3 linked regions of the Caenorhabditis elegans genome follow. The protein of the gene in region 1 interacts with the protein of each later gene in a pairwise test. Each region holds a gene or a part of one and is shown in the gene's direction. Other genes may lie near its edges.

Region 1 (3,644 bases):
GGAAAATTACATATCGATTTTTTTTTAGTTTTGGTTCATTCCAATTCGAAAAAAAAATTCTCGATGTTTTTTTAAAAATTTTTTCAATATTTCAAAAAATTTGATTTTTAGAAAAATGACCTCAAATTTTTCAATTTTTCTTCTTTTTTTTCATTTTTTAAACGTTTTATTTAGATTTTTCGATTTTAAAAGATCAAAAAAAAATTTTTTAAAGGAGTTCCGATAAATCTATAATTTTCGTTTTTCAATTCTCAATGTTTCGATTATTGTGCATTTTTTAAGCTTTTTTTTAAACAAAAATCGTTTGAAATTAAGGTTTTGCAGCCAATGCCTAACAAGACCCAACTTTGGAGGCGGAGCGATTTAATTTTTCCGTGAAGCGTACTTGCATCTCCATTTCAAAAATGGCATTTTTCTGCGTCTTTATAATATTCTGCTTACACAGTTTTGAACGATTTGCTACAAACAACACAATATGGAAGTTCTTCTCCTTCTTCATCACATTCATCACTACAAGTATCGTAATCCTCGGCCATTTGTAGACTAACTTCAATCAAATGAGCAAGACGGGCTGCCTCGGCTTCTTTGTCGTTCAGATATGAGTTGGCTAGCCTGAAAAATTCAATTTTTTCCTTATTTTTCACAATTTCGGAACTTACTCTTGATTTTTGGCGATCTGCTTTTTTCGATTATCAGCTTGTTTCTTATGTGCTTCCAATTTTTTTTGCTCCAAAATTTCCCTATATGCTTTGACACGTGGATCACGTTTTCGAACAAAAGCGACCAGATTCTGAAAAATTTTGTTAAATTTAAATTTAAAATTAAATATTCCGGACAATCATACCCTAATTTGCTCGTTCCTTTCCTGCTTTCCGACATCCCTAAACTTCTTATTTTCCTGATCGATTTGCCGTGATTCGAATCGATTTGAAGCCTGTGTGATATCATAATGATCCAGCCAGGCAAAAGAGCGAGTTGTCGAAAAAGAGCTCCAAAAACCGTAGAAACCATTCACAGTTTGCTCCAAATCGGTATCCTTGTCGCCAAACTCTGGATAGACTATTGTTGAATCGTTGTACGCATCATATTCCTCAGAAACTAGGATATTGAAGACTTTCCGGTAGACAGTGAAGAAGCCCTGTAATTTATAATTTTGATTTACTTTTTAGATTTCATTCTCACATTTTTATCGTTTTCATATCCTTGATAGCAAGAAGCGGTGAAATAGGGGAACAAATCCGTGGATTGTTCCTCGAAATCCGTATTTTTTCCCTTCAGAATACTTTCTCTATGTCTATCGTAAAATTCGCGTTCTCGTGGATCACTCAAAACGTCGTACGCAGCTTGAAGAAGCCTAAATTGCTGAGTACACTCTTCGATGCGATCCGGATTTTTGTCGGGATGCCATTTGAGCGCTAGTTTTCTGTAGTTCTTTTTGATTTTATCGTCATCAGCGTCGCGTTCAACTTCGAGCACTTCGTAATGGCATTTCATAGCTGAAATATTTAAAATTTACTCTAAATATGATTTTATTTTATAAATTGAAATGAATAGTTCATGCGAAACCATTTAAATAATAATAGAAACAAGAAAAAGAATTAAATGAAAAGAAAAAGTTATCTATCGTCTCTCCTTTCCACACGATGTCTCGCCATCTACATTAGAGCGCAATTGTAAAAAAATAATTTCCTATATTTTTTCCCACGATGTTTTGACGAATTCTGAGAAGCTAATTCACATTTTCCTGTTGTGATTCATATTAAATGTTGTTGAGCTAAATAAGAGCTATCGATTGATATGTCTGCCAAATTTCTTGCAAAAATATAACTGATAAAACTCTCGATAACAAAAGTTCGTTTCGAGTTCAAGCTCGGAAACCGATTTCCAAAATGTTGTTTCATCTTTATTTTCCTGAATTCCATCAAGTTTTCCCTCATTTAACATTAAAAATCTGTGTCTCTGATCACTCGTTGATACCAGTATCACATTAAAATCGTCCTTGACGTCGTCCACGCGGCCAATTTGTCCTTCAACCTCCATATTGTCATTCTTTACTTTTTCCTTGCAGTTTCGAACAATGTCCAGTGGAAAAGTTATCGTATACGGAGGCAAAGGCGCACTTGGATCTGCTATTCTTGAATTCTTCAAGAAAAATGGTTATGTAAGTTTTAAAAGAAATTGAATTAGGATGTTGTAAATTAATTTTCATTAATTTTCAGACTGTTCTAAACATCGACTTGAGTGCCAATGACCAAGCTGACAGTAATATTTTGGTGGACGGAAATAAAAATTGGACAGAACAAGAACAATCCATTCTCGAGCAGTAAGTTGTATTTTTAATTTAAAAAAAAGCTACCGTAACCTCATAAAATATTTGCAGAACTGCTTCATCTCTCCAGGGAAGTCAGGTTGATGGAGTTTTCTGTGTTGCCGGTGGATGGGCTGGAGGCTCCGCTTCTTCAAAAGATTTTGTGAAAAATGCTGATTTAATGATCAAACAATCGGTAACATATATTAATCCTAAACATCTGGTATTATTCTACCGTGAATTTTCAGGTCTGGAGTTCAGCAATTGCAGCCAAATTGGCCACCACTCACCTCAAGCCGGGAGGTCTTCTTCAGCTTACAGGAGCTGCTGCTGCTATGGGACCAACTCCATCAATGATTGGATATGGTATGGCAAAAGCTGCAGTTCATCATCTGACATCTTCATTGGCTGCCAAAGATTCGGGATTGCCTGACAATTCGGCCGTTTTGACAATTATGCCAGTCACTTTGGACACCCCAATGAACAGAAAATGGATGCCAAATGCTGATCATTCAAGGTAAAATTAAATTACTCTTTTTCTTTTGCATAGTTTTCTATGTTTTTTTTTCAGCTGGACTCCACTCTCATTCATCTCTGAACATCTTCTCAAATGGACCACAGAAACATCGAGCCGTCCATCTTCCGGGGCTCTCCTCAAAATAACCACTGAAAATGGAACATCGACTATCACTCCACAATAATTTTACCGACATTTTTCAGCCTTTTTTACATTCCGCTTATTATCTGTTATTTTTCCATGTAGTATGCTATCAATTTCTAAATCATTTGTCCATAAAGCTTGTGATGTTTTTAAGTAAAAATGTTTTATTATCTAGATGCGAAATATTGCAATTTTTCTGCTGAAAATACGGTACCGGTCTCGACGCGACAATTTCTTATGGTTTTTTTTTAGTTCCCTATTTTCTTTAAATTTATAGAAAATTCTACGGCAACAAAATGTTACAAAATTACAGTACTCCCTAAAGGCGCATCCCTTTTCGAAGTTAATCAAAGTTTGTCGTGTTGAGACCGAGTACCGTATTTTCGGGGCAAAAGTAAAAATTTGCTAGAAACTCGCAAAAGATTTTATACAAATTACGTTGAAAATAACTTTACCAAAATATTATGAATTCAGAGAATGGAAAATATACCTTGGAAGGGGCACACCACTTTTGCGATGGGTCCTGAAACGATTTTAATTAAAAATCTACAACATATTGTTCATGCTCCTTTAAATTACCGAAAAATTGTTTTTTTTTTTCGTTTTCTTTTTCAGCGTATTATTACATAATTCTTGTCCCAAATCTTTAGTTTAATTCGTCAATTCTCACCATAT
Region 2 (6,972 bases), on another chromosome or scaffold:
CCGCTCGGACCTCGCCAAGTCATCATGAACTTTTCGCAGATAGGACAGGTTGCGGAAGTTCAGCACGTAGACCTGGAAGCTTAGGCTTCACAGGGCAGCTCGGTATCCGGTGTCTTACCTCATAAAGTTTCTTCAGTCGCTCCTCAAACCGCTCGTACTCGTCCATATACTGAGGTCGGAAGGACTGTAGCTTTGCGAATCTTTTTTGCAACTGCTCGTACTCTCGCTTCTTTCGCTCTATCTTCTCGTCGAGCTCTGCCTCATCGCTGGCCACGTTGTTCAGCTTGTTCTGAAAATTTGAGAGGTTAGCTGGGGAGCCTGCACCTAACCTAATTGTAAGTGACTCAGACCCTCCGGGCTTTAAGAACAATCACGTGGGTTCGAGTGGAGTGGGTGTTGCTTCAAGCCAGTTAGGCTAATTCAGTCTATTCCTTCAGCTCCAAGATCCTCAGCGGACTCCTCGAGGCTAGGGGTCTCTGAGCTTCTGGAGAAGATGCACAGGCCCGGTCTAGTGGCTTGAAGCCCTGCATATACCACTAGAGTTCAGGTAATGAAGCTTCAAAGTCTGAATCAAAGTTCAAGTCACTCTTTGACCAAGCCCACGCCATTAGAAGAAGTCCAAGCTTTTTACTGTCCGCTTCACAATCAGGATCGAGCCAGGCCAATCTCTCAAACTCTAAGACGCCAGAGCTCAAACCTACGCCACCAGGAGCTCCGTGACCCGTCAAGCTTACCGATAGCTGCTCAGTCTCCTGAGCGATGTTCTGCACTGTTGCCTGCAGCACCTTCTCGGCCTCAGCAAGTGGTACCGCCCGTGACGCGGCTCTCTCGTGTTGCTGAGATATGAACTCCTGCCGGGACAGCAGCTCACTGAGCAGGGCACCTGTTTCCGGGAGTTGTGATGATAGCTGACGAGTGATTCGGACCTCCTGCATCTGAACTTTCGACAGTTTTTTCAGGCTTTTTCAGGCTGGTGGCCTGTGAGACCCACCTTCGACGAGAGCTTATTCTTGACTTGGGTCCATTTTGGCGAGTTATCAGTGTTCGGGTCCTCTGCCTTGGCCTGGTAGAGGATCTTCATGGCCGGTAGGAGTTCCTGCACCGCATGACCATCAGCCTGGTACAACTTTTTTGGATTCATCTTGATTCTCGAATTTTGGAGCATCAGGAGTACCGCGTTCTTGATGAAAGCGACCCGATCAGCTTCTGTTTGGACTTCGTGTGCGTCAAGGTTGGATTCGGGCTCAAATCTGGAATTTTTGGGCTTAGAGTAGGCTTGGAAGTTAGTGGCCAAAGTTTCTATATTTTTCGGCCAACGATTTTTTTCACTGGGAAACTAACTTTTTCACGATCCATTCCAGCAATTCAGCCACCAGCTGAAAATTTGGGGTCCGGAAATTCTCAATTGACATCAAGCGAGGGTATCGGAGGCTTCGCGTCATCTCACACAGGTCTGAAGTTGGCGAAATTTGGGACTAGAATCCGAACTCGGCCATGATTTTGTAAAATTCAATTTTAAGTGTATTTTGGGTCTTTTTTTTGCGTTTTATGGTTTAGAAACATTTCTCACCTAGATTTTAATGCAACACTTATTTTTTCCATATGAAAATCTCAAAGTTCAAATTTAAAATTAAAAAAGCCTTAAAAACTTACTTCTCAGCTCACGATACGACATTTTTCGTGCAGAATTCAATTGAAACTTCTCTTCTCAACAATTGCCTGCCTATTCCCCCATTCAATATTTCCTCCGTTCCCATAGAAACTCCCTGCAAACACCCCAAAGACTACGGTCGACGAGCTTCTGCAGCTCAACCGGCGTTTTGTACGCAAACACCGCGACGCCATATTGCACACATTTTTCGAGAGGAGCGCCGCGCGCATTTTCTCCGAGTTTTGTTTGCTTTTTTGCGCATCTTTCATTGATTTTTTATTAAAATCGGGGGAAATATGGTTTAAATTATCGATTTCCGCCTGTTTTAGTGGTGAAAATGTGAAAAATCGTAGTGAAAAACCCTAGAAACCAGTAAAATTCTATTTGGAAGGGTTTTGGTCTAAATTTTGAGTTTTTAGCATTAAAACAATATGCTCAGCAGAAAAACTAATGAAAATGTGAGAATTTTGAATCAAAATACCTAAATTTTTTAAAAAATCCTAGTTTTTCTCTATTTTTCTCAAAATTTCCGGCAAAAGCCTCAAAATTTCAATTAATTTCCGGTTTTTCAGGTAATCCCCGGTCGAAATGGCTCTGAGAAAGTGTGGAAACCTGTTCGTGGCTCGTCTCGCTGGCACCTCGACCAGAGCGGCTTCCAGTGAGTAGAAATTGCAAAAAATGAATGGAAAAAAAACGAAAAAATCGCTGATTACCGGCTAAAAATGAAGAATTGAACGGAAAAAACGAATTTTAACCTAAAAAAGCATAAAAATCGCCAATTTTTTCAGCAATGACCGTCCGTGACGCCCTAAATCAGGCTATGGACGAGGAAATCAAACGTGACGACCGAGTTTTCCTGATGGGAGAAGAAGTTGCTCAGTACGACGGAGCTTACAAGATTTCCAAGGGATTGTGGAAGAAGCACGGTGATAAGCGAGTCGTCGACACTCCAATTACTGAAATGGGATTCGCTGGTACGGGAAATCACGCTGGAAATCGAGAAAAATCGAGAAATGTTGACTCGGAACGTCAAAATCACTAATAAATCCCCAAAAACAGCACCATTTTTTCGAAAAGAAAGTGTCCAAATTTACTTTAATTTTGGATCTTTTCTCTCAAAAGTTCAGTTTTTACACTAAAAATTGGATTTTTCGAACAAATTTCGGAAATTTTCCTAAAAACAATTAATTTTCGGCATTTTTTATTGAAAATTTCAATATTCACTGCAAAAAGCTCGGAAATTACGGAGTTTTGATATTTTTCGCAGAAAATTCCGGTTTTATCAAAATTTTGTCGAAAATTAAGCTGAAAAATCACATTTTTTATATAAAAATCAGATTTTTCCCAATGTTATTTGCAGAAAAGCTCTAAGACCGCGCAAATTCAATTTTTCAGCAAAAATTGTCTAAAAAGCTCGAATTTTCGCATTTTTCTCGATTTATTCAATTTTTAGCAAAATTTTTTCAGAAAAAACTGAAAATTCCTCCAAAAAAATCACATTTTTTTCAGGAATCGCCGTCGGTGCTGCCTTCGCCGGGCTCCGTCCAATTTGCGAGTTCATGACATTCAATTTTTCCATGCAAGCCATCGATCAGATTATTAATTCAGCCGCAAAAACATATTATATGTCCGCCGGAAGGGTACGGTCTTGGCAATGTGCCACGTTTTCTGGAAATTGCGATTTTCAGCGAAAAAATAGCCGAAAAATTGAAGATTTTCACCAAATTTTTGACTAATTCGTGAGAAATCACGCTTTCTGCTATTTTTAGAACGAAATTCCTCGGTTTACACTGATTTTTCAGGAAAAAGTCAATTTCTGATACAAAAAATGCGATTTTTCTAGATTTTTGACTGAAAATCAGGGTTTTTCTGAAATTTCTACACAAATTTTACCTCAACAGAGCTGATTTTAGCTTTAAAATCCGATTTTTCTCGACTTTTCACTGAAAATTTCATTTTTTCAGCCATTTTCGTTGAATTTATGCTGAAAAATCATGTTTTTCACATGGTCTCACGCCATTTTGATAAGAAAAAATTTGTAAAAATCATCAACTGATAAGAATTCTTATCACTGAACACTTTCTGATCAGTGAATTTTATCAGAAATTGGAAATTTTTTTTCGGAAAATCGGTCCAAAACTGAGAAAATATAGGGAATTTATAACTTTTAAAGTTTTTTTTTCTTGTTTTTTTTTCTGAAAACACCGCTTTTCCAAGAAAAATACCGGAGAAAATGATATTTATAAAATCATTGAAGAAACATTTGAAAACGAAAATTGTAGAGATTTTGTAATATCTGAAGAAAAAAATCGAGAAAATTTATTTTCCAGGTACCCGTCCCAATCGTATTCCGTGGACCAAATGGAGCCGCCGCCGGAGTTGCTGCTCAGCATTCTCAAGACTTTTCAGCTTGGTATGCTCATTGTCCAGGACTGAAGGTTGTCTGTCCGTACAGTGCTGAAGATGCGAAGGGACTCCTGAAAGCTGCGATTCGTGACGATAATCCGGGTACTTGTCGCGAAAATTGGAGATTTTCGATGCAAAATTCAGATTTTCCAGAAAATTTCAGTCAACAACCGTGACAACTGGAAAACTTCTGATATTTTCGAAATTTTAGGATCAAATTAAGCGGTTTCTTGAAATTTTCCGGGTTACTGTAGCTCCAAAAGTACGCAAACACCATATTTTACGAAATTGGGAGCTTTTTGGCTGAAAATTTCAGTTTAGACTGATTAAAAGGTGGCAAATTTGAATTTTTAATTCATTTTTTGAGTTTTTAACGATTTTCTTGTGAAAAATGGTTTTCCGAACACCAATGTTTGCGTGCTTTTGACGCTACAGTAACCCCGAATCAAAAAATCGGCGCTATTTTCATCAAAAATTTGAGAAAAGTCGGTTTTTGTTTAGTTTTTTCATTCAAAAATGTTTTTTTTTTACTTTTTTTCCGGAGATTTACATTGTAAAATCTAAATTTCGAAAAATATTGTGCAAATTTAGCAGTTTTTCAGGAAAAAATCCAAAAAAAATTAAAAATTCTATAGGAAAATATCTGAAAACCAGTTTTTTTTCAGTTTTGGCCGAAAATTCTGCGAAAATTTATAATATTCTCCTAAATTCAATTTTTCGGGAAAAATTCGAATTTTTTGCAGTTGTCTTCCTGGAAAACGAGATTCTCTATGGACAATCGTTCCCAGTCGGCGACGAGGTTCTTTCCGATGATTTCGTGGTTCCAATTGGCAAGGCAAAGATCGAAAGAGCTGGTGATCACGTAACAATTGTCTCGTATTCACGTGGAGTTGAATTTTCACTGGAAGCTGCAAAACAGCTTGAAGCTATCGGAGTTTCAGCAGAAGTTATTAATCTTCGCTCACTTCGTCCATTTGATTTCGAATCGATTCGTCAATCAGTTCATAAGACTCATCATTTGGTGTCTGTTGAGACTGGATGGCCATTTGCTGGAATTGGCTCAGAAATTGCTGCTCAAGTTATGGAGAGCGATGTTTTCGATCAACTTGACGCGCCACTTTTGAGGTCCGTAAGAGAAAATTTGCGAAAAATGGCTTAAAATGCTAAAAATTTGATGAATAACTGCTAAGAATGGCACAAAACTTGAAATTTTATCTTTAAAATGTTCCAAATTTGACATTTTCTGAAAAGTTGAAGGAAATACTCGAAATTATCTGAAAATTTTATAATTTCATTACAAAAACAAAAAGGACCCTAAAATATGAGGAAAACAGCTGAAAATTTGTGATTCTTTCGAATTTTTCTTGTTCTTTTTTAAAGAAAAAGCGAAAAATTCGAAAATAGCTCGAAAATCTTCGAAACATGCGAAAAATCGCATAAAATCCTTTAAAATTTTCCAAAACTCCCGAAAAACACTTCAAATTTTTGTAAAAATGATCCAAACCCGAATAAAAACCTCTAAAATGCGAGAAAATGCTCCAAAATCTCAGGAAAAAACCCCCATAGAGCTCATAAATTTCTCAAAATTGCTCCAAAGTTTTAGCAAATTTTCAAAAATCCTTTAAATTCCCCTAAAAAGCTCCAAAATTGCTGAATAATTCCTCGAAAATCTCTGAAAATTTCACAAAAAAGCTCTCAAATTTTAGAAAGTCTTCACAAATTTCCAAAACCTCTGAAAATTGCTTATAAATTTCTCAAAAATGCTCCAAGGTGCTCCAAACAGCCTAAACATCCCGAAAATGCTCCAAATCTGCTCAAAAGTTGCTCCAAAATCTCTGAAAAATTCTATAAAATCTTCAAAAGCCCTCCGCAATCTCACAATACATTGCTCCAAAATTCGCTTTATAAACTCTATACTTTCTCAAACAAGCTCAAAAAATGTTAGAAATTGCTCTAAATTCTCTGAAAAAGCTCCGAATTCGTTAGAAATTTCTACAAAATTCCCTAATAAGCTCCAAAATCCCCCGAAATGCTCTAAATTTCCTAAAAATCTTAAAAAATTTTCCAGAGTCACCGGAGTCGATGTTCCAATGCCATACACTCAAACTTTGGAGGCTGCCGCCCTTCCAACCGCCGAACACGTCGTGAAAGCTGTCAAAAAGAGCCTGAATATCGCATAATTTTCTGTTTTTTTTCGTTAAAAAATCGATTTTTCTCTAATTCTCATGACCCCCGATGCCTTTTTTCCCCTAATTTTTTTTTCAAAATTTTTGGAATTTTTAAAAATTTTTAGAGCTTTTTTTTTCGAGATTTTCCCCATTTTTAGGTACTTTTCCTGTTTTTATGTTCCCCGTTTAATAGTGATTTTAGTGAGTAAAACGAGTAATAAAAGTCCCCTCAATTTCATGTTTTATGGCTCCGCGATTTCCCCGGAGCAGCAAGGTGCTCCTTCTCCGAAATTCGGGAAAAATGCGCATTTTTCCTTTCCACATTTGTCATGCAAATTCGTCGTGTTTTTTGGGAATTTTTTTGGCGCGCGCGCCTTTTTTAGTTTTATATTTGTTTGTTTTTTAGTTTTTTTCTGGAAAAGTTTTTTTTGAAAACACTAATTTTTCAAAGGATTTTCCAAAAATTTTAATTTTTCTCTATTTTTCGCAAAATTCGAGTTTACCTCACCGAGAGCTTTCAAATGAGTATAATCATGACCTGTTTTGCCTGAAATTGAGTTGGGTCTCACCACGAAAATCCCAGGGTTACTGTATTTTTCGTGGCGAGACCCAACGTTTTTTTTCAAGTTCGAGCAATGTATGCCGTGATTATACTTGTTCGAAAGCTCTCAGTGAGCTGAATTCGAAAACACAAAATTTTTTTGAGAAAGTTTAAATTCACTGGGTCTCCCCACGAAAATCTCAGGA
Region 3 (6,625 bases), on another chromosome or scaffold:
TAGGCCAACAATAGCCAAAAACTGCTGTCCCAGCTAATCGAGCTCCCACGAATTCAGGAGTTTGTGAGGTGTCGTTCCAGTAATTATGAACACTCCAGGACATCGTGTTTATTACCTTCTTAAGATATGGAAATTTCTTTCTAAGCGCATCCATTGGGTACATGAGACCTCCGTAACGATTCAGTCGTGGGATGTGTCCTTGACTGTTCTCACCCGGCAACGGGATCGAGTCCACTTCCAGATTGTTCGATGTCGCCTCAATTTCCGACTCTGGAGGAATGAATCCGCCACTCACAAGCTCTTCGATTCGGTTACGCTCTCTCTCCAGTTCACCCATATAATCAGCCATTTCACGTTGATTTTCCAAAAATGCAATGTAGGCTTTCGGGTGGGAATCTCTGAGATGTCGCTCGAGAAGGCTCATCTCACCGAAACGATTTTTGCAGACTTTGCATCGGAACATGCTTTTACGGACGGCATTTCGAATTTCATCGATGCTCAGTGAGGACGCAGGAACCATGTTGAGATCCGGAGCACAAAAGTCTTGCTGCTCTGAAAATTATAAATTTTCTTTTTTTCCAAATATTGGTTCAAAATTGGACTCAAAATTGCCTAAAAATACCGAATTTCATGATGAAACTTCTTGAAAACTTCTCAAAAAAAAGTTATGACGGCTCAAAAACTGGCCTAAAATTAGTTAAAATTTGAAATTTGACTTGTCAGCGCTGCCAGCTGGAAACTAATATTTTTGAAATCACCGTCAAATTTTGAGTATTTTATGTAATTATCTTTCGTTTTTAACTCTGATTTAGGTATTTTAAAGTCGATGAACGGCGAGATTTTTAAATTTTTTTAAACCAAATCTCGCGGTCCATCGACTTTAAAATACCGAAATCGTGTTGAAAACGCAAGATAATTACATTTTATACCCAAAATTTGACGGTGATTTCAAAAACAAAAATTGTTTCCAGCTGACAGCGCTGACAAGTAAAATTTTAAGTTTTAACTACTTTTAGGCCATTTTTTGAGCCGTCATAACTTGTTTTTGGGAAGTTTTCAAGTTTCATTATATAAATCGGTGTTTTCAGACAATTTCGAGTCTACTCCACCTTTAAATGACAAATTTCTGAAATCCTTACTTTGTCGAACTATACACTTGTCAAGTTCGGCAGATGGATCGATGAAATTCAGTGCAGCTCGGTTTTCGCGAAGCTTTTTGATTGGTCTTCCATCCCCGCCGAGAATGATTCGTTCTTTATGAATTTTCGGCGGATTTCTGAGGCTCGCAAGAAGCTCGCCGACTCCGGTGAGCTTTTTTCGTGGGCAACACACGTCATTTCTTCCAGAATCGTTGGCTTCAGCTACTGTTTCCTTTTTCATGCATTCTTGAAGGAAGTGCTCTTGAATACGACGAATCTGTTGAGCATCCTGAGCGTTGAATGATGCAATAATCTGCTGTTCCTTTTCGTCTTGGCAATCCCTATGTTCCGCATGATCATCTTCCGAGACTGCATCTATCAAGAAATCATTAGAAGAGAATAATACAAGAGAAATAAATATCAAATAGTGATAATAACTAGGTTTCTTGGAACCAAATATAGAAATCAAGTTAACAAAATTTCGTTATTTTTGTTTTTTTATTAGGTTAACAATAGAAAAAAATATAATGATTACGTGAATCTTCACGATCGACAATCTCCGGCGCCTTCATTGTTTCTCGTTGCTTGTCCTGATTGTTCCTGTAATTAATTGCATTATTGAAGGAAATTTTAAGATTTCAAATAACGAAATTGAACACGGGTCTGGAAAAATAGAGGCGAAACGAAGAAATATGAACATTTCGAAATAATGCAACAATCTCATGTGACTCCTGATGAAGAGGGTATTTGAAGTGCAAAATAGAGCGCAAGTGCACTTTTTTAATTTTTCTCTTAAAAATAGCTATTTTTGTTTAATTCTAGAGTTTTAATTATAAAAAGAAAAGCAAAATTCAATAAAGGTTCTCTTCGAAAAAATAAATTGTTCGGGTGGATTTACGGTAAACAAGGCGCATTGCGTTAAGGCGGAGTGTCGTTGTGCTCGGGTCTCGCAGCGAAAGTCACCTACAGTAACCCAGAATTTTAGGATGACCGCGATTTTCAATTTCGTTTTTTCTTTTCGCGTTTTTTCGCGGAAATGTTTGTTTTTGATGCTCGTTTTGTGTTTTTGTGTTGTATTTTTGTTGCTTTTTTCGCATTTTTCTATACGTTAAGTCTTATTTCGTCTTGAATTTTAAATTTACAGGTAATAGTTACAAAATCGAGAAGGATGCCAGCTCTTCCTCCAGTCTACACGCCTTCTGGAGCTCCATCGAGCGTCCACGCACCACCTGCCGTTCCACCAGTTCCAGTTCCGACTCAACCGTTAAGATCGGAGTATCAAACGTCTAACGACGCTTGCATCAAGAGACTGGAAGAGCTTAATGTACGTTTAGTTTAATTGATTTTTTTTTCAAACCTAATTTGTTAAATTTCAGATTGCTCCTGCTGCAAAGCTCTATCCAACACCTACTGAACCAGGAAAGTGTGGCGTCGAGGCCGAAATACAGACCAACGTATTCGGAATCGAGATGCACCAGGATTCGTTGTTCTATCAGTACAGCGTGAACATCACGACGGAGCTGAAAAACGGGAAAGAAGTTACCTTCACTAAGAAGGGGAAGGATGAGTGAGTTTACCACATGATTTATATTTTTCTCATAATATGTTCCAGCTTCGTCGTTACTGAGAGACACGACAAGTGCTGTGCGATTCTGTTCCGCGCGCTGGGTGACTATGAGGAGTTCTTCAAAACGTCTGATAGCTGCCTCATCTACGATGGTCAAAGCATTCTGTTCTCAAACGTGGATCTTTTCCAAGGGTTCAGAGAAGGCGCAGTAAAGGTAAATAAATTAAATCTCGGCCAATGTTATTCCGAATATTTCAGACCAAGTACATGCAGCTTGATGGCGGAGAAATGGATCATAAGGATCTCAAATCGTTGCCGTGTATTAAGCTGGAGGTGTTCCCGACTAAAAACCCAGCGGTCAAGTTCACACGAGAAGCCGTAGCAAGACGAGCAACGGACTCAAACCTCGATTCTGTCAGCTTGGCTTACCAACAGATCCTGGAACTCGCTCTCACTCAACCATGTCTTCGCAACACTGCGAGATACGTTGTTTTCGATCATGGAAAAATGTTTTTCATTGATCCACTCGGTGAAGGATTCGAGAAATGCGACGTTGTGGACGTTGGGGATGGGAAGCAAGTTGTACCAGGACTCAAGAAGACGATCAACTTCATCGAAGGACCCTACGGCAGAGGACGGAGTAATCCATCAGTTGTCATTGACGGTTGGTATTCAAAATAGTAATATCATAGTTATTTCTTGTTTTTCAGGGATGAAGGTCGCTTTCCATAAGAATCAGCCAATTCTCGACAAACTGAAGGAGATAACTACGCAGCCTGTGGAACACGGCCTGAAGGGACTCGAAAAGGACCGCTGCGCAGCCGTCATCAAAGGGCTCGACTGCTATTCTACATATGGCGGTCGTGAACGTCATCACAAGATCGAGGGAATCCATCACGAAGGGGCTCGAAATGCTCGTTTCGAGCTCAACGACGGTGGAAGCTGCACTGTAGCTCAATATTTCGAAGACGTATACAACATCACTCTTCGCTATCCAGACACAAATCTCATCGTTTCCAAGGAGAGAGGAAATATAAACTTCTACCCGATGGAATTGTTGAAGATCAGCTCTCATCAACGCGTTCAGATCCCGCAGCTAACCAGTGCCCAGAGTCAGAAGACAACGAAGGAAAGTGCTGTTTTACCTGACGTTCGCCAGCGTCTGATCTTGACGGGAAAAAATGCGGCGCAAATCTCATCGGACAACGAGGTTCTCGGTAAAATGGGCGTCTCGGTGTGCGAAGATCCGCTCATGGTCAAAGGACGCTCAATTCCTGCGGTGAAGTTGGCAAACGCTGAAATTGGAGCCAATCCAATCAATGTCAAGGACAACAAGTGGCGTGCCAACCGCTTCACTCGACCAGCCACGGCGCCGAATGTGTGGGCGATGTATGTTGTCGGTACCGCATCAACTCGCATAACTTTGGATACTCTGAAGTAAGACTGGCAATATAGTTTCATATCTCATTTTTTTCGTTTCAGGAAATTCGCAGATGAGTTCGCGGCTATGTGCAAGTCAAAAGGTGTCAACATGCCTGCTCCTGCTGACATTTCGCTCATCCATATGGATGCCATCGAGAGTCGTCTGTACGACGCAACGAAAGCCAATTGCACATTCGTTTTCATCATAACGGATGATTCAATCACTACACTCCATCGTATGTTACATTGTTTATTATATTTGTCCATATTTCCGTCTTTCAGAGCGTTACAAAATGATTGAGAAGGATACGAAGATGATCGTTCAAGACATGAAGCTATCCAAGGCGTTGAGTGTTATCAATGCAGGAAAGAGGCTAACTCTCGAGAACGTGATCAACAAGACCAATGTGAAGTTGGGAGGTTCCAACTATGTTTTCGTGGACGCCAAGAAGTACCAGATTTTTTTTTGCGAAATTTATATTCATTTATTATTCCTTCAGGCAGCTCGACTCTCATCTGATCATCGGAGTTGGGATTTCCGCCCCACCTGCTGGAACCAAGTATGCCATGGAGAACAAAGGAGTTCTAAACCCCAATGTCATCGGCTATGCGTACAATGCACAGCACAATCAGGAGTTCAGTGGAGACTTCGTGTTAAACTCTGCCAGCCAAGATGTGAGTTTCCATTTAAGAATATTCTCATCCGATTTGATTTCAGACTCTTGCGCCGATTGAGGATATTGTGATGCACTCGCTCAACGAATACCAGAAGTTTCATGATGGCGGTCTTCCGAGACGCGTCATTGTCTACCGAACAGGAACAAGCGAGGGAAATCATGGATCAATCATGGCCTACGAGATTCCTCTTGCTCGTGCTGCTATGAGAGATTTCTCACCTGATATTCAACTTGTATACATTGTGGTGTCAAAGGATCACAGCTTCAGATTCTTCAAGCCCGATTTGGTTAGTAGTTTTGCATCAAAATAACTTTGTATATTTTCAGGCAAGTCTAGCTTCCCGTCCACAAGCGACTTCCAGCACCGCAAGCAGGCATTCTGCAATGCCAGCCGCCCCAAAAGCATGGGATCTGAATATTGCACCCGGTATTTTGGTCGATTCCATCGTGACAAATCCGGCTTGCAAGCAGTTTTTCCTGAATTCCCACATCACTCTGCAAGGAACTGCGAAGACTCCATTGTACACAGTTCTCGCCGATGACGCCAAAGTCAGCATGACAGCTTTGGAGGATATCACGTACAAGCTGTGCCATCTTCACCAGATCGTTGGACTTCCGACGTCGCTTCCAACTCCATTGTACGTCGCCAACGAGTACGCCAAGAGAGGACGCAATCTGTGGAACGAGGCAGTGTAAGTTTTGCATTAGCGGATTCTTTGGAAAAATGTTTTTGTTTTCAGGGCCTTGAACAACGTTCCAACTGTTTCTGGCCCGGAAGCAGATCGTCTCAAGGAGTTGACCAAGAGCATCTGCTACAAAGCGTCCGGAGATCTCACGGGTCGTCGTGTCAACGCATGATCACTTTCAACAAGGCAAACTTTGTTTCTTTAACCACCTCAACCCTTCCCTGCTGTTCCATTATTTCCTTGTCCCTATTGCAATTGTTTTTGAACAACTAATAACCCTTTCCCACCTGTACCATTTCACATTGTTACTCTTACACCACGTTTATAACCGCATAGTTTTCCCAATGTATTAATATTGCCCATTCTTGTTATATCATACTTATATTGTCCCCTGTTATTCACTTCCCTTGTCAAATATTTCCTTTTTTCAGCAACTTGTCATCGCAATTTCTTTTCTCGTTGAAATTACGCTGACAAGTGTGCTCTGTGGCCTTTTTCTTTTTTTTTTTCATTTGTTTTCTTGTACTAACTTCTCGAAACATCAGAAGATGTTTCGAGAATTTAGTTTTGAATACTAATATAGGCACTGAAAACTTAATAAAAGTTGATAGCCGTCGAAATTGGTTTTTGTTCTATTTTTGAATTTTCCGGGTCGGCTTGGCATCAGGGATGTTCAAGAAATTTTTTTTTGCAAGAAACAAGAAATTTGCATAAAACATTGCAAGAAAAAGCGCAAAAAATGAAAGAAATTTCAAGACATGGAAAACAGTTAAACTTTTTTCAAATGTTAAGATATAGGTTAAAGTAGTCGATTATAAATACGATTTAACCTAATAGGCGACTCCTGGAAGTAAGTTTCAGCCGAAAACTATGAAATTATTGCAATTTCCAAATTTCTACGATTTGTCAAATTTCCATGTCCAATTTTTAACGATTTGAAACATTTTTCCAGCTTTCTAAACGTTTTTTATCCAAAATCCTATATAAAATTTTTATATTTCCATAGAACTTCCTCCATCTTGTACTGATTTTTCTCGAAATAAACCTGAAAATCAAAAAAAAATTTCTTGCACTTTTCTTGCAAAAAAATATTGCAAGAAATGGAAGCAAGAAATGCAAGAAATCAAGAAACAA

What was found.
Region 2: the proteins of qdpr-1 (region 1) and pdhb-1 interact in a two-hybrid assay, tested with the Caenorhabditis elegans proteins (one large-scale study listed by BioGRID).
Region 3: the proteins of qdpr-1 (region 1) and wago-4 interact in a two-hybrid assay, tested with the Caenorhabditis elegans proteins (one large-scale study listed by BioGRID).

The regions. Positions count from the first base shown.
Region 1 is NC_003281.10:13,391,842-13,395,485, forward strand, and holds qdpr-1 (Dihydropteridine reductase), read left to right. Parts: upstream 1-2,068; 5' UTR 2,069-2,077; coding exon 2,078-2,161; intron 2,162-2,219; coding exon 2,220-2,323; intron 2,324-2,380; coding exon 2,381-2,504; intron 2,505-2,556; coding exon 2,557-2,825; intron 2,826-2,879; coding exon 2,880-3,009; 3' UTR 3,010-3,138; downstream 3,139-3,644. Other genes in the region: dnj-17 (DnaJ homolog subfamily C member 21), read right to left, coding at 442-612, 660-790, 845-1,138, 1,183-1,494.
Region 2 is NC_003282.8:3,397,449-3,404,420, forward strand, and holds pdhb-1 (Pyruvate dehydrogenase E1 component subunit beta, mitochondrial), read left to right. Parts: upstream 1-2,223; 5' UTR 2,224-2,239; coding exon 2,240-2,309; intron 2,310-2,439; coding exon 2,440-2,625; intron 2,626-3,160; coding exon 3,161-3,291; intron 3,292-3,981; coding exon 3,982-4,159; intron 4,160-4,800; coding exon 4,801-5,182; intron 5,183-6,125; coding exon 6,126-6,237; 3' UTR 6,238-6,455; downstream 6,456-6,972. Other genes in the region: dyf-3 (Clusterin-associated protein 1 homolog), read right to left, coding at 1-72, 119-289, 735-935, 992-1,250, 1,342-1,453, 1,654-1,675. UniProt on the Caenorhabditis elegans protein: The pyruvate dehydrogenase complex catalyzes the overall conversion of pyruvate to acetyl-CoA and CO(2).
Region 3 is NC_003280.10:12,917,270-12,923,894, forward strand, and holds wago-4 (Argonaute protein wago-4), read left to right. Parts: upstream 1-2,281; 5' UTR 2,282-2,307; coding exon 2,308-2,463; intron 2,464-2,515; coding exon 2,516-2,706; intron 2,707-2,751; coding exon 2,752-2,920; intron 2,921-2,964; coding exon 2,965-3,370; intron 3,371-3,416; coding exon 3,417-4,143; intron 4,144-4,188; coding exon 4,189-4,364; intron 4,365-4,410; coding exon 4,411-4,579; intron 4,580-4,628; coding exon 4,629-4,803; intron 4,804-4,846; coding exon 4,847-5,092; intron 5,093-5,132; coding exon 5,133-5,497; intron 5,498-5,545; coding exon 5,546-5,663; 3' UTR 5,664-6,108; downstream 6,109-6,625. Other genes in the region: F58G1.2 (C2H2-type domain-containing protein), read right to left, coding at 116-552, 1,140-1,508, 1,675-1,711. UniProt on the Caenorhabditis elegans protein: Argonaute protein which is involved in the endogenous small interfering RNA (endo-siRNA) pathway and is required for RNA-mediated gene silencing (RNAi) in the germline.